Schizosaccharomyces pombe: one gene and its partner. The gene in region 2 interacts genetically with the main gene of each other region. Each region holds a gene or a part of one and is shown on either strand. Other genes may lie near its edges.

The links.
Region 1: of alp1 (region 2) and alp21, extra expression of one rescues a mutant of the other (dosage rescue), as found in Schizosaccharomyces pombe (one study listed by BioGRID).

Annotation. Positions count from the first base shown.
Region 1 is NC_003424.3:2,388,125-2,392,056, forward strand, and holds alp21 (tubulin-specific chaperone cofactor E), read left to right. Parts: upstream 1-1,811; 5' UTR 1,812-1,961; coding exon 1,962-2,116; exon of another isoform or gene 2,117-2,154; coding exon 2,155-2,423; exon of another isoform or gene 2,424-2,465; coding exon 2,466-2,565; exon of another isoform or gene 2,566-2,611; coding exon 2,612-2,887; intron 2,888-2,930; coding exon 2,931-3,666; 3' UTR 3,667-3,819; downstream 3,820-3,932. Other genes in the region: protein Cbp8, read left to right, coding at 1-1,549.
Region 2 is NC_003423.3:3,355,132-3,359,063, forward strand, and holds the start of alp1 (tubulin-specific chaperone cofactor D Alp1), read right to left. Parts: upstream 1,917-3,932; 5' UTR 1,595-1,916; coding exon 1,448-1,594; intron 1,404-1,447; coding exon 315-1,403; intron 271-314; coding exon 1-270. Other genes in the region: knh1 (KRE9-like protein), read left to right, coding at 2,648-3,502. UniProt on the Schizosaccharomyces pombe protein: Has a function in the folding of beta-tubulin. Microtubule-associated protein that is essential to direct polarized cell growth and to position the nucleus and septum to the center of the cell during mitosis.

The DNA of each region.
Region 1 (3,932 bases), on a different chromosome or scaffold from region 2:
ATTGCTTTTCTCACAATATTCTGACGAAAAAAAGGTACTGGTAAATTTCGTATATAATGTGCTTCGTTTAGATCCGGATTTGCAAAGGCAAAAGCGAATTCTGGAGAGCATTATTTCAGCTGCCTTGAATATTTGCGTATCTACTGTAAATTTGAGTAGAACTGACTTAAAATCTTCTTTAAAAATAATTTTGCAAACAATTGATCTGTTTAAATATGACAGTTCATTCTCTTCTATATATTTTCGAAAAGATGGACCGTACCACAAAGTTGAAAAACTGCTGAAAAGCGCTAATATTCGCTCTTCACTTAATTCAAAAACTTTTAATGATTTCCGCACACTTTTCTTGCTTCTCATTAGAGATTACAGTCTTTTCCATGGAAATTCGAGCCATTGCATGTTAGCTAATTCTATGCTACCACCGTCTATTGCTTTTTCGAAGATGGAGAAGGCTGAAATTTTTTTACGTTTACGTGCGTTTTTTCAGCTTATGGAGCATATTGATAATGAAAGGATAACTCCATCTGAACAGTTTCTGGATAAAGTCTTTATATCTCTCCTTTCGGCTAAAAATAGCTGCTCTCTTAAAATGTGGCTCATTCACTCATTTAATAAGGGATGGCCGGTAAAAATTGAGTTTTTTGTTTCTTTTTTCAAAAATTTTTCCAATATAGTAGAAGGCTCTATGGAGGTCTATTCCGCATATTTACATATTATACGAGATCACTACAATTTATCTGATTTGGCTGACGTACAAGCAATTTTTCTTTCTCGTTTTATTTTATTAAGAAAGAAAGAAGATTGCAAAAAACTACTGGAGCATGTTTTACCTATTCGTCAGCTTTTTTTGTTAAATTGCTATAGCCTGCTAAATGTACTCGCTAATTACGTTGTCGTCTTTAAAGATCGTTTAATTTTTCAAGAAATAAATCAAAATTGGGAAGAGCATAAAGGCCAAATTCCGGAAAATTTTATTTTCTCTCTTTTGAAGATGTTTGGTGAAATGCAAGAGAATCAAGGTTTTTTGAATGCCTGTATTTATTATATAAACAAAAAGAAAAATTTAAACGAAGTTAGTCGTTATAAGATTAATTTATTATTACTACAAGGTGTGAATTCCTTCGAAGTAAAAGACTTTTACAGAAAACGAGGAATCGAAATAATGCCAAAAAACCTGCCCAGATTTTTTTGTTATTGTTTAAAAAAAAATAAATTAAGTTATGCTTTAAAGTATATACGGTTATCTGGGCTTCAGTTTGATTACATTGTTGATTGTTTCCGTAATAGCAGCGACTGGACCAGAACTCTGATTTCGATATTGAGCAAAAAAATGGGAACTGAATTCGCAATTCGTTTTTTAAAGATAATTTCTTTTCCTTTGTTATCAAATGACAAAGTTCTCCGAGAGATCGAATTTTTTGCCATTCACGAGGTAAATTTTAGAAGTCTCAAATGGGTTGCAGATCAACAATTGCGAATTCTCCCAGGATGGAGTTCTCGCCCCCAAAAAGCAACATTTCCTTTATGTACAGTTCATTTAAAAAAGTGATAATTCTCGATAGTGCTGCTTCCAATCTACATCGTGCTTGGTGCTTGATACATTTAAACGCATTGTTTGATAATTAATATATTCATTGGTATCAAGTTGTACTTTACGAGGTATGCAGCCAACAATAGATTATTTACATTAACATTGAGAGACTTAATAAAGCAGCACATTTAAAAATGAGATCGACATTAGAATCAAAACCCGTATAATAATAAGCAGTATTTCCAACTATTTTCCTAACAAATCTGATGCCATCTATATTATCACTACGTACTGAACACTTCTATGTCGCAAAGAAAAAGTGCGGTTAAAACTTTTTGTTGTAGATAAAAGACAAAATTTGAAAGAAACAAAAAACTTAAACTGCCCAAATTTTTATAGCAATCCATTTTCTTTCCCACGTTGATTAATAATGCATATATCCACTGGAATGGTTAGGGCTTCTATATCTAATACTTTAGTAACATTAACCATCGAAGGAAACAATGATCGATACCAAGTCATACTTGATAAAAACGTAAATGCAAAACAGTTTGTTAAAACGTGTTGGAGAAACAAAAAACCATTGTAAGATTGTTATTGACGACAAGAAACTAAACTATTAGAATTGTAAAAGAAGGAAAAATATTTGTAGACAAAGGATTCCCTTTTGATCCATGCAGAACATTTTTGGAAGCACTTTACGAAAAATATTCATATTCAAGTCCCCTACCTTCCTCTGTTGAATTTAAAAGTGGAAAACAGGTAGAATTCTGTGGTTTCGAAAAAATCCAAAGCAAGCAAAGAGATTTAAAAAGCTTGCGCGTTATTATTCTAGACAATTATAGGATTGAAGATATTGAAATAGAGTACGAGTATTCTAAAATACTACCTGGTATGTCACTTATTTTCAACTAAATGTTAACGGAATTTGTAGAAGTTATCGACTTAGATTTATCGAGAAATTTGTTTCATGAATTTTTTCCAATCCTTAAATTGTGTTCCCAGCTTCCTTCATTAAGAAATTTAACTCTAGAGCATGTGTTTTTGTTTATCTCTACACGTATATTCTAACTCTTTCAGTTCAAACTTATTTTCAAATTTTATTAGCTCAAATACCGTTCTTTTAATTCCTCATTTAACACAACTTTCAGTGAATGGATGTGGCCTAAACAGTAAAGATGTTCAATGGATTACAGAGACTTTTCCCAGTTTGGAAGTACTTTACCTTGAAGCAAATGAAATAATTTTATCAAAAGCAACATCTTTTAAAAATCTGCAGTTCCTTCAAACGTTAAGTCTTGCAAATAATCTCAATCTTTATAGTGCTGATGGCTATGCAGTTGATGTGTTCCAAGGGTAAGTATATTTGAGAAATACGAATTAGGTTTCTAATCTAAAGAATTAACAATTTGAATTTATCTTCTACCTCCCTCGCTGATGTTGCAGAACTACCTGTACACACTTTACACAAATTGACATTCCTTGACATATCAGAAAACAACATTAGGGATATTCGTTCTCTGGATCATCTTCGTACATTAGAAAACTTAAAGCACCTGCGTATAACACTTTCTTATTTTAATAAACCTACTGATATAGCTAAACTGCTGGTGATTGCGCGAATTCCTTCTCTTGTAAAATTGAATGATGTGAATATATCACCTAATGAGCGTTTGGATGCTGAGTTGTACTACACTTCATGCATCCGGAAGCTTGTGATTGATAATGAAATTAAGGATGTTGAAGAGCTTACGAAAATAGAGCCATTCTGGGAGGAAATATGGAAATCTCACGAGTTGCCAAGCATTCAATTCCATTTGGAAGCTTCAATCAATGACTGGACGTCTGGCATTCTTAAAAATCGCATAACAAAGGGCATCAAAATATCGTCAATTAACTCAGGTGCGACAATGTTATTAAAGCTCCATTATAATTGGAAACTGTTAGATATAAAAGCTTTAATTTCATACCACTTCGCAATTCCAGTACATACGTCTACTTTTGTCTTTGCTTCAAGCGAACGAGATGTAAGCTTCTCTCCAAAGACTGTCAGAGACGACCAAAAGCGTCTCTTTGAACTCCCTTTTACTTGTACTTTTATCGATGTATATGCAAAGGAAAGTGGAAACGTCTAAAGCCAAGTTATTACTTGAAGGACCAAAATCGATGCTCTAGTTTTACGGCTTCTTTTAAAATACAGAAAAATCTTTTTAGCGAACTCTTTTCTAGTATTATAGTTTACGCGATTAGTCATTAGAAGTTTTTTATATTTAATATTCAATAACTCTTTAAATATACTAATTCCATGTATATACCATATATGAAAAGTGCCTCTAAGTTATTTAATCGGTTCGACACAATTATAAAATTATTAAGAAACAAAGAAAACCAAAGCCAAAAC
Region 2 (3,932 bases):
ATAGTTAATATGTGATATCAAAGAAAGCCCATCGGGAATAGAAGCGTGTCTGCCAATCACCTCAAATAAAGCAGCAGTTGCAGCTCTGCGCACATTTATTTCATTGTCAAACAATACCGTTTGTAAGAGACATAAAATAAGATTCGTTTGTAAGCCTTCAATTGCTGACTTAGAGTAGCAATGATAAAATGACCAAACAAAATAACAGGAGGCATCTCTGATGCTTTGTCCTGTTACTCTAGTTCCATATCTTACTTCGTATGATAAGCCCTAAATAAGGATTAGAATGATATAAGAAAACAAAGTGTACTTACTACTTCGATCAATGGAAGAATATGTAAACATTTACTATACTTAATTAAACCTGCACCTGCTAGTTTTGCGAAGAAAAGTATAGCTCCGTGCCAAACCAGTGGAGAAGTAATTGATATGTTTACAGTGTTTTCTATGGGGTTTAAAAACATATTTTCTGTCATCAATTCAATAATGGCATCGATAACTTGCTCAGCCAAATTCCAGGGCAAACGACTTATGATCTTGGCTAGCCCTTTGGCTGCAGACCAGCGTACAAAACTGTCTATGTCGCTTACAGATGACAATAAAAAATCAACAATAACCTCCAGATATATATGTACTTCTTCGTTAGAGTCATCAGGTAATTGAAAGAAACTATCTGGGTTACTGATCGAGTATTTCCAATTAGGGGATGAATTTACAGGCAGCAATACAATTCCCAATCTTGTATAACATTTGCATAATAATTTCCTCAACGCTGAATTTTCTTGTCCAACTAAATCTTCTCGTGCTACATTCAGAAACTGAAACGCAACATCAACTGTTTGAAGACAATCATTTCTCGGACAAATTTTAAGAAAAGAAGATAAGGAAAAAAGACACCCAATTTTGTAAAAGATACTTCTCTTAAACCAACTACTCTCACAGTGGTGTAGAAAGCCTAGAAGTAAATCCAAACCGTCATCACGAGAGAATAATCGGGACAAAACAAGACAAGAAGCTTCTTTGTCTATTCCCGAATTTTCTAAGTATTTAATTGCTATAGTGTAAATGGTCTTCTTCACATCCAAGGAATCATCTAATGAATTTAACGGGAATGGGGTATTGAGTGCTTGAGAAAGCCACAGTAAAACTATGTAGTGAAAATGCCAGGTATTATTTGATGATTCATTTAATAATGTATATAATTCCTTAATATATTGAACGCCAACAGGAAAGAGGACGCGAACAGCTTTATATCCTCTTATTTTACAAAACTGGTAAAGGATAACGGTAATTGAGTTACATTTTCCGATATTTTTCACTTTCAGTAAATAGCTAGCCAAGTTTGGAACGTATTTACTCAGTAGTTTATCGAGCAATGTCGGCTGAAATTGACAAAATTGCAACTAGAATTTTAATTAGAAAGGTCACAATATCTTTTTAAACATACATATTTAACAGCGACGTCTTTAAGTTTTTCCACAGAATGTGAAGAACTTCTATCGTCTAAAACATCATCGAGAATTTGCGATAAACGTGAGGTTATCAAAGACTCATCTATAGAAATAATTCCTTCTAAAGATTCTTCTTCTTCCATTTTTGTTTAAAATTTATGCTATGATTATTTTTGACTGTAACGACTTTAAGCAATTAACGCGTGTTGAATAAATTATGAAAAACGAATAAAGCGAAAAAATATGTTAATCTCCTTTCTTTTAGAATTTCTTTCGTCCTAAAAAAAAAACTTGGTCCCTAATTTTCTGTATTGCCTTGGACAATTTCCTCCTTTGTCACTCATGAGGTTGCAAATGATACCAATAAGAAAATAAAACAAGTTTGAATAATTTTAGACCTGTAAGATTTATTAACGATTAAATTTCACAAGCTTTGATATTGAAAAACATTATGAAAAGTGGGATAATAAAAAGGTAAATTATTGTGGTGGTGTAATCTGTACCCACTACTGATATTTCAAATCTCAAATCTAAACGTGAGCAGTTATTAAGAATGCTTTTGGAGCAACCACTGTGATATTTGTAAATGATATATTATTTCTGCGAATGAATTAGGAATACAGCCAGACAGTAAGCATATCTGGTAGTAAAGGGCCTATATATTGACAGCTCTAACGCAATTATTTCATAGAGTAGACATAATATTCACGACATAGATTCAGTAAGTTCGCATGTTATTCATTCTTTTGGTACAAGACTAGCATTTGATATTACAAATGTATAGCAGTATCGTTTAAATAGATCTTTACTTAAAGATTCTCAAACGTTACAATAATTTTCCCAAGATGTTGGCCTTTAAACTAGTCGGCATAAATTTACAGAGCAATTGTAAGTACTTGCTAAACTGAAGAGAATTTGAATTAGAGGTTTCAGGTTAAAACATATTCAGTGTTAACTATATCCAGCTTGTTCGTGATATATATTTTTGAGTTAAGCCGAAATTTATTGCATGAAATAAAAAATAAAAAAAAATAAAAAAATCACTTTTATTAGCTTACAATAAACCAACTTTTCTCGATTATTTGTTTACACATGTCAAATAAGGTGTTTCGATATACATCCCTGTTGTCAGAGCAACGATTTATATATATCGCTTACCACTAAATTTGCAAAGTCTCTTCAAGCCGTCGAATTTAATGAAAACCACCATGTTGATGCTAGTATTGCTAGTCTGCTCATACATACATTATGTATGTGCGCAAATTCGATTCGTCACTCCGGCGACAACAGATAGTATGGATTTTACCGCTATTTCGTTTTCATGGGAAGAATCTAATACGGGAATACCTCTTGAGGACATAACCAACACAGTTTTTTATATATGTAGTGGTAGCATGGATGCTCCTCAACCTTGTGCAGTCTTGTATACGTCCCCTAGTCCTTCTTCTATATCCCAAGCTGGACCCTTCGCTATTTCTCAGGTTTTTGGACCAGCTGGACGTCTTTACTTTCTTTGGGCACAATCTACATATGCTGGTGGTATAGTTAATGACTATACTGACTTTTTCACTGTTAATGGTCTAACAGGAACTTTTGATAATTACGAAATTTATGCGTCTTTGATGGCTCTTGGTGTGTATCCTTATGTTCCTACCCTTACTGGTTTTAGCACTTTTCTTGGTGTATGGCCTACAGGTACAATGCGAGATTGGTATCTATCTCAAACTACCGGTGTTCTCCGTACAGGACCTATTCAAAATCGACCAGATTCTACTTTTACTGCTGCTACGACCGACATACAACCGCTATGGGAAACTTCCTCTTATTCCGTATTTACCACGTTTGCAGGTCCTCCCATTGCCACCTCGACTGTCTTTGCATCTCCAACGTACATGTATACGTTGTATGCTAATTATGCTAGTACGGCCTCTAAGCCTACTATAATCGCAACTCCAACTGCTGGTTTAAGGAGACGAGACAGCTGGGCTCAAGCTGCTCCGAAACGTGGGATGCGTTTAGGTGAACACAAACGTGGGTTGTTATATTCCTAAATTGTTAATTTTTTTTAAGGCCAAAGCCTTTCATGTCATTTAGATTTTTCATTAGCACACTAGGATATTACTGTGTGCATTTTTGTCTGCTTCCTTTAGCTCAAATACATTGAGTCGTTCGTCAAAGAAAACAAAATATTTTGGTTATTTGTTATCTAAAGTCATGTTTTTTTTCATATTTACCATTATGCTGTTTCTGTGGAGTTAATTTCACGTAAAAGCATCTTCAAGTGCATGAGTTATTTCTTCATTCGTTCAATTTTTACTTTCCTTTCTCCCTTTTCATTCGTTCTTTTACATATTTAGGCAAAAAGAACTCTCGGTTAAACCCTTTTCTTTAGTTATCATTTTCTACATTTAATAAATAATTATGGTTTTATTTAGAATTTATTTTGTAAATTATACTTGTTTGAACGCATTGTTTAATTAA